Danio rerio: one gene and its partner. The protein of the gene in region 1 interacts with the protein of each later gene in a biochemical or structural test. Links are inferred from orthologs where the notes say so. Each region holds a gene or a part of one and is shown in the gene's direction. Other genes may lie near its edges. The genes, in order: tdrd3 and top3b.

Region 1 (4,416 bases):
ATGATCTCTTTAAATCGGAAATTACAGAGGATATTTCCTGCAATAAATTTTGATTCAATTTAGAATTATTGTAACCATATACGTTTACCAGAATGAAAAAAAAGTGCTCAATATCTAACACCACTGCTAGCCAATGTCCATTAGGGTCATATTTAGCAGAAATTATTTTCCCTGGACAGTTATTAAATAAAATTGCAGTACCAGCCGAGTGGGAGGAACCATGGCTAAGTAAAACTTTATCTCCCCATTGACTAGACCAAAACGAAGAGTCTGAAACAGTTGAGTGTGTCTCTTGTAAAAAAATGCATTGAGAACCATTACTTTTACAAAATAAGAACATTGCTTTACGTTTGACTTTATCTTGGATGCCCCTGACGTTAAGTGACATGAGAGAAATTTTGAACTTAACTGGAAACATAACAAAAATAGCAAAAGATGAAATAAAATAACAGAAATTTGTTCACAAAAGAGGAAATCTCAGAACGGGTGGTATAAACCCCAAACAGTTATAACCACAACAGAGCATACCTCCCAGCCTAGCGTTTCTTAACAGTCATATTTCAAACTGTCCTACCATAAAAGGACAACTACACAGTCATGCGGCGTCAATGCGCTTCCCTTCAATATACCCGAACGGTCCACGGTAGTAGGCTATCTTTCCTGCTTTTCGCGCCTGATCGATCAAAGGCCACAGCGCAGCGCGGGCCAGCCGGTCCTCCCTCGTCATATCCTCCGTGAAACGAACTCCGTGGTCGCGGCACACAGATGAATTTTTAGTAGACCTCCAAATTTCGTCCCTGTATTTACGCATTGTGAACTGCACAATCACTTGCCTGGGTTTACCTAACTCCTTCTTGCCAACTCGGTGCACTGTGTCAACAATGTCTTCTAATTTATGAATCAAATGCGGAGCAATTTCAGCGATCATGGCAATCGTTTCTTTACGAGCATCCTCCTCGGGCTTCTCTTTCATCCCGTTGATCCGGAGATTCCATCTCCTTTTGTATCGCTCTAGCTCTGACGTTCTGCTCGCCAGGTCTTTGTGTGATGTTGTTAGATATAGGAGTGATTTGCTCGCTTCTGCACATTTTTCTTTGCAATCTTTAATTTCAGCGGCATTGAATTCAACCGCCTTAGAAATCTCTGCCACCATGATACTGTTCTTTCGCATCTGATTTGCCATGTCTTCTAACTGTTCATTTTGTACGTCAAAACGAGCTGTCAGTGATGTTATGGCTTGCAAGAGAGTTGCGTTAGTGATGTCATCATCATGAGGTTTTAGCTTTTTTTTATCGTTGTCTTTGGTCGGGGTGAAATGGGATGCATCACGCCGTTTGTCTGTTTTAGCCGTCTGTACCTCCATTTCTGGATCTGAGGCCGCGTCCTTCACTGAAGTGATGTATATCTTTGGGTGGGTAGTCTGCTGTGAAGATTTCGGCATTTTGACGATGTTAAACACCCCTGTGGTGTTTAAATGTTGTTTTAGGTAGGTGAAGATGAAAATTTGTTGAATTCTAAAGATAAACTAGAAGTTTCGCTAGGCTGCTCGGTGAAAACGCATGCGTTCAGCCCGCCATCTTGTCCCCCCCGACCACTTTGACCCGAGAAGCGTCAGAAGTTTGCGCGTGACGTCATCTGTCTTTGTCCAGCTGCAGCTTCAGCTAACGATGCAGAAATGAATCCCGAGTAACACACAATGGTGTCTTAGTGAGATTTTAGACAGCGATTGCGTACAAACTCTGCAGCGTGTGTGAAGATGTGCGATTTAAGCTCGGCGCTTATTAAAGAGGGCTGGTGAGTCTATACTCTGTGCCATCGGCTAACTCTTTAGCATGCTAATGATGCTAACTCATGTTTACATGCCTTTACTCACGCAGCGGGATGTGCTCATGCCATGCGTTTGAAAGTGTTTATTTAACAGTGTGCAGATTATAAAAAGTCAGCAGTTTATCACAGTGTTTCTTTGGCGTTGGGTTTGTTTACGTTACTGTTGTTGGCGGCTAAATCATTAGCACGATAATCAAGATTAATTTACTGCTAACGTTAGTCTTTTGGAAGTAATTCTGAATCAGTATGTGTTATATATTAGAGGTGGCCTATAGTATCGTTTATTAATCTGCTGCTGAAGTTTATTGTTGATACTGTTTAAATCTGACTGGACTGAACTTTGACGAGCTCCGTTAAACTTTCTCCAAATCTCACATCATTAAAGGAGTTTAAGGTTTCATGTTTATTTATTTGTTCAGAGTTTGCTTTAATTTCATTTAGATGTCAAACTTTATCGTCTATATTTAGTCTTAAAGTACTAAGGTGCAGGCCAATGCTAACAGAATGACAATTTGATGCAATGGAGTTTACATAATACTGAAATAAGTGCTTAAAAGTCAAATATTTGACCTGCTGATTAATAGTAAGATAATACTAAGACAATTATTTTGTGTTTTAAGGTGTTTGAATAAGCAAATTGAGCAATTATTAGTTTTTAAACATACATCTGAATACTGAATAAAGCTAGGCTAATTTGGTTTTATACAATTCAATTCATGTTTATTCATGTTCAGTTCAAGTTTCAATTAATATTTATGAAGCGCTTTTTAAATTTGGATCGTGTCAAAGCAACTGAACATAGTTCTAGTAAACTGATTAATAGAACCATGTGATTGATTAAAATACTACTATATAACCTTACGATATTAAAGTAATATCCAAAATCAGGGGTGCCCAAACTTTTTGTTATGAAGAGCCAAAAAATGAATTTAACTGTGGGTTAAAGGTAAATATACTAAATGTACTGTAAAAAAGTGCAGGGATCCACGAAATTCATTTAGGTTGTCCAAACACAAATAGTTGCCCAAAAAATCTAAAGAATTGTGTTGTTTGAGCTCAGGTTAAACAAGCAGCAAAATGTAAATTTTGACTGAGTCTTTATTACATTAAAGTTGTCATGGGTAATTTCTTAATTTACTTGATATAAATAAATTAATAAATAGACTTAATCTGAATGAATAATGCAGTAGTTTTTTGCATTTTATAAACGTCTCATTAGAATAAAAACATAATTATTTTATATATATCCAGGACATGTTTGACTTTTAGGCAGTGAGCGAGCTGATGCAGCTGCTAAAGATGCTTTGAAGCAAGTAGTGAACAAATGCCAAATTCCTCCGTTAGAGATGAAACCTTTTATCAACGCTTACATTTTAAACAAGTGGCAAAAGGAATGGGATGCATTAGAAAACAATCAAATTATATGAAATCCAACCTGAAGTTTCACACAGAATTTTAAGACATTTTAAGAATCGATTTGATCAAGTAGTTTTTACCAGATGTTGTATTGGGCATACGAGAATAACACATGGTTTTTTGCCCCAAGGTGAAAACCATACTCAGTGTTTGTGCTGCAAAACTCCTCTTACTATTAAACATATTGTACTGGGCTGTCCTGCTTTTACTGATTCCAGAAGAGATTTTTATGAAATGAACTCTTTTAAGGACATTTTTGACAAAGTGAAACCAGAAAAGATTTTAGAATTTTTATCATGTATTAACACTAAAAATCTTATTTAATTTATGTTTTATTTTGTTTGTTGATTTTTAAATTGTTTATTTATTGTTGAAAGATTCCTGCCATGAAGATAGCCTTGGTTGCTGACATGGCATTAAATAAAAAATACATTACATTACATGCTGTTTGTGCAAAAATGTTTATAAATTCAATTTAAGCATGGATCCTTCATATTTAGGGCATCAAATATGTCGAAAAATCCTGGTTAAAATCAAACACTTTTTTTTTTTCACAGGTACCTTACAGATGAAGGAATCGAGGAGTGTAAAAGTTCTTCAGAGAAGGAGAAAACATCACCCACTGACATCATACAAGTAGCACTAAACGTAAGCGCTTTAAGAAACACTTTTATCCTTTTTATTTTGACAATGTCAATGTATATCAATAAGTTTCTTACATAACATGTCTTTGTCCATCTGGGATGATGTATATTTGAGTTTCGGCTCACCATAGAATCAGTCACACCTCAATAAACAGATAATACAATTATATAATTGACAATAAATAATACTATTATGTAATCCACAGAATGATCTGAGACCCATCGGTAAGAGCTTTCTCCCAGCTGACATCAACAGCGGACGAATAGAAAAGGTACATTTGTGGATGAAACATAGCTTGAACTAAGAGCTGCTGCATGCTTGATTCTGATTGGCTCATGAGCAATCTAAGGTGTGCATTTATTTTCAGATAATTGCACAGCTAAAGTAGTTCCGGCAGGTTTTGAGTGCTTTATAGCTCTATTTCACTACACTGAATGATTTGAGTTATTTCACAGCTACAACAGTCAAAAATCACATCAAATCGGAAGGCTTCGGAGGAGATGTGGAAGAAACTTGCAACACACAGGA
Region 2 (3,828 bases), on another chromosome or scaffold:
TTAAGTATAGTTTATTTATTGTTTTATATGACATTTTTTATTACATTATATCTTTTATAATATTGTTTACATGTTTATTATATTATATTATATAATATTTTGTTTAGTTTTTTTATTCTATTCTGTTTGATCTATTATTTAGTGTTTAATCCTTTAATGTCATTTTTGTGACGTGATTAATCTTCTGAAAATTGTTTCTGTGTGTGTTTTTGTTCGCAGGTAAAAGCACTGCTCTCTGAGGGAATAAACAGGCCTAGGAAAGGAGCAGATGCTGGAGACCACCCGCCAATCACTCCAATGAGAGCCGCTTCTGAGAGTGAACTGGGTGCGACTGTCAGACTTCCTCATTTCATATTTACACTTCTGTTATTGAAAGGTTGAGAAATATTAAGGAGCACACCAAGGTCAATATGATTTAATATACAGTAGTCAACTTTTGAAGTGAATCAAATTGTCCTTGTACAAGAACGGGTGTTGTTTAATATTTTAGTACAGCTTTGATGAAAGATGATCATCCACTTCAAATGTTGACTGCTGTACATTTCAGGACAACGTTCATGATTCAGTTTTGAAATACTGAATGAAAGGGGGAGAAATATAGACTTAATTTTATATTTATTCATCTGTTTTTAATCTAGTGAAACTTGTAACATACAGTCTGTACGTCAAGGTTAAAAAACTGGGGTCAGCATTTATTAATACAATTACTACTTTTTTTTTAAACTCCAACATTTAATGCAGTTTATTCAGCTATTTAAATTACCACAATAAACTAATTAAAAGTGCCATTTATAACTTTGCAAAATACTAAATGCTGTTCTTTTTTGAAGATCCCTAGAAATTATAGTTTTCCACTACAATATCAAACGGCTTGAGTAGCGGATGCTAACAAATAGCCACAGCCATATCATACTGCAGCCCAAGACCGGTTACTCACTGAAGCTAAGCAAAGCTGAGCCTGGTCATTACCTGGATGGGAGACAAAACAGAGAAATAAACAGTAATTTAATGCCCTGCTACATATGTTGTTCATAATTTCATATACACATTACCACAATTTGTTTATATAAACATTATAAATGAGGAGAACTTCTCCTGAATCCCCGGTTCTGAATGCAGACACTATTTATACCAACTATTAACCCTGCCGGTAATCTGTATGATTTTTAACATAGGTGAACACAGCAGCACAGATAGCGATGTGTCTGAATGGTAACGAACACAACTGATATAAGTCAAAGTTCGCCATTCTCCTTTTCTCGTACTGCTCTCCCGACAAAAATGCTTGCTGCAAACCAACAGCTTTACTGTATCGGCCCTGTCAGCATCTCGGGGAAAAACATGCAACAAACCCTGTGAATCATGGAAGCAAACACATACGTCCTGTTCTGTGCATTAACACATTCTCACCCAGACATTGGGTCTCACAGCTTGGCAGGTCTGCCTTGCCTTCGAAAAGCACATGCTCTCATGAATAATTAACAAGCTGGGTCTTCTCATTGGATAAGAAAGCTCTGCTATAAATAATAAGGAGAAATCGACATGTCATCACTTCACTTGCAGTTTTGCACTACGTCACCATTTTGACCCCGCCCCAAAAATGATTTTAAACCTGGAAGAAGAAATTATCTGACAAAAGCTCCAAATTATACAGTTTTCATCATAATTAAAGCTAACAGGTGCCAACATCGTCTTAACTGATGCTCAACACACACAAAACTGTTAAAATCTCAAAAAAGTACTGCAGGCTGTCCTGAACCTTTAAAGCTGCTTTTGACAACGTGTCTAGCAGGAGAATCAAACCTTTTCTGATCTGAACTCCATTATAATAAGATCTATAAAACAACAGAGCTGTAAAACACATCTGTCTTTATGTCTGTGCAGGCAGTGATGGCTGGCGTCTGTATGATTACATCACACGGCACTTCATAGCGACGGTGAGCCCCGACTGCAAATACCTGCAGACCACCATTTCCTTCAGCATCGCCACAGAGGGCTTCACATGCAGCGGGAAGACGCTCATCTCTGCTGGTCTGTGCATTTTTTTTTTGTCTTTCCTTATTTTAAAAACATATTCCAGTGGAGACCCTGTGCAGGCTTCCCACACTTATTGAAAGAACCACTTGGGTGTGAGTAAATAATAAGGAAATGTTCATTTTTGCTTGAACTATACCTTTATTATTTCTCTCAGGTTACACGGAGGTGATGCCCTGGCAGGGTATTGCGCAGGAGGAGGCCTTGCCGGTGTGTGAGCGAGGAGACATGTTTACTGTGGACGAGATTAAACTGCTGGAGAAACAGACCAATCCCCCGGATTACCTGACTGAAGCCGAACTCATCACACTCATGGAGAAACACGGCATCGGTATGACCATTCATGCGCACATCTGAAACCGATCGTCTTGGCAACAAGTTCACAAGAAGAGAACTAATTTAGACATGTGAAGCCGCACATTTATCCAATATGCACTTCTGATATTAGTATTTCACATCATCTTGGTCTGTTTATGCCAAACGAACATCATAGTTGTTTCTTAAACACTGCAAATTTAATTACAGTATCACAGTATTCGCATCACAGTTATTTGACTCATTCCAGAATTGAGGGTACAAGGATTTTTCCATTCATTGTCACCTATACTTGAATGATTTACAACTAGGGATGTAACAATATTGTTAATACCGTCATACCGCAATAGTAATTTTTTTCAATATTACCGTAGGTGCATGACTCAATATAACTATAGTTCTGAGATAAGTTTGCTTAGGCAAAAGAAGCGAACGGGAGGTAGCGGAAACTACAATTCCCATCAGCCTAGGCGTGGCCATCATCCTTTGCGGTCTGTTGTCACTACAGATCCAGTAATGCGGAAATGGAGTGTGCTGCTAGTAGCGGGGAAGAAAAAGAGCTGGAAATGATCGAACCTAAAGCCGGTTTTAAATCGGATGTGTGGAAGCATTTCGGTTTCTTTATAAAAAGATATGAAAAAGGGGAAAAGGTGACAGACAAAGAAAAAAACAGTATGCAGGCACTGCCAGACTTTGGTGAAATATAAGTCGGGGAATATGACTAAAAACAGTCATGGGGACTGCAGAACACAGCACACTTGTTAGATTGATGCAGACATTGACTTGTACCGCAAAGAGACCTCTATCTCAATCATGGCTTGTCCTCTAAAGTGGTTGGAAAGACAATGCACAATATTACCCACTGCTGTCAACCTTGGCTAAATCATATTTCTCTGTCCCAGAAACCTTAGTCCCAAATGAGAGGGGTTTTTTTCTGTTGCTGGGGACATGCCCAGAGATCCCAGCTTTTACCAGATTATAGTTATATGATCATTTTCCTTAAAAAACCCATCTCTATCTAAGTGAGTGAGTGATTAAATGTTGAATGTGATGAGTTTTCAACAATACTAAATTGAAACTTTATTTTTTTTTTATATGTTTAATAGTTTTTTGTTATTAAAATTGAAAAATTGAAGTTCCTGTTTTGAAATTTACAGATGGATGGCTAATTTGTATGTCATTGATATGTTCAGTGCTAAGGTAAATAAGCACTTTTGGCACTTTTTTCGAGTCTTTTCATTAGTTTTGTTTTTCCTGTAAATTATTCAATAAATACCGTACCGTGCCATTCATACCGAGGTTTTATCGTACCGTGAAATTCTGATACCGTTACATCCCTATTTACAACTAATGAATGATTTACAGTAATCTGAATCTGATAGAAATGTAAAGAAATGCAAAATGCTTATATGGGATGGGGAACGTTTGATTCTGGGACTATTTGTTGTATAACGTCTTGTTAAAGTTTTTGAACTATTA

What was found.
Region 2: the proteins of tdrd3 (region 1) and top3b form a complex in vitro, tested with the Homo sapiens proteins (2 studies listed by BioGRID and IntAct, with this or other methods). The link is inferred for Danio rerio from reciprocal best matches to the Homo sapiens genes TDRD3 and TOP3B.

The regions. Positions count from the first base shown.
Region 1 is NC_133186.1:45,111,886-45,116,301, forward strand, and holds the start of tdrd3 (tudor domain-containing protein 3), read left to right. Parts: upstream 1-1,603; 5' UTR 1,604-1,756; coding exon 1,757-1,794; intron 1,795-3,800; coding exon 3,801-3,891; intron 3,892-4,093; coding exon 4,094-4,159; intron 4,160-4,416. UniProt on the Homo sapiens protein: Scaffolding protein that specifically recognizes and binds dimethylarginine-containing proteins. Plays a role in the regulation of translation of target mRNAs by binding Arg/Gly-rich motifs (GAR) in dimethylarginine-containing proteins.
Region 2 is NC_133180.1:13,914,159-13,917,986, reverse strand, and holds part of top3b (DNA topoisomerase 3-beta-1), read left to right. Parts: intron 1-219; coding exon 220-325; intron 326-1,884; coding exon 1,885-2,031; intron 2,032-2,191; coding exon 2,192-2,365; intron 2,366-3,828. UniProt on the Homo sapiens protein: Releases the supercoiling and torsional tension of DNA introduced during the DNA replication and transcription by transiently cleaving and rejoining one strand of the DNA duplex.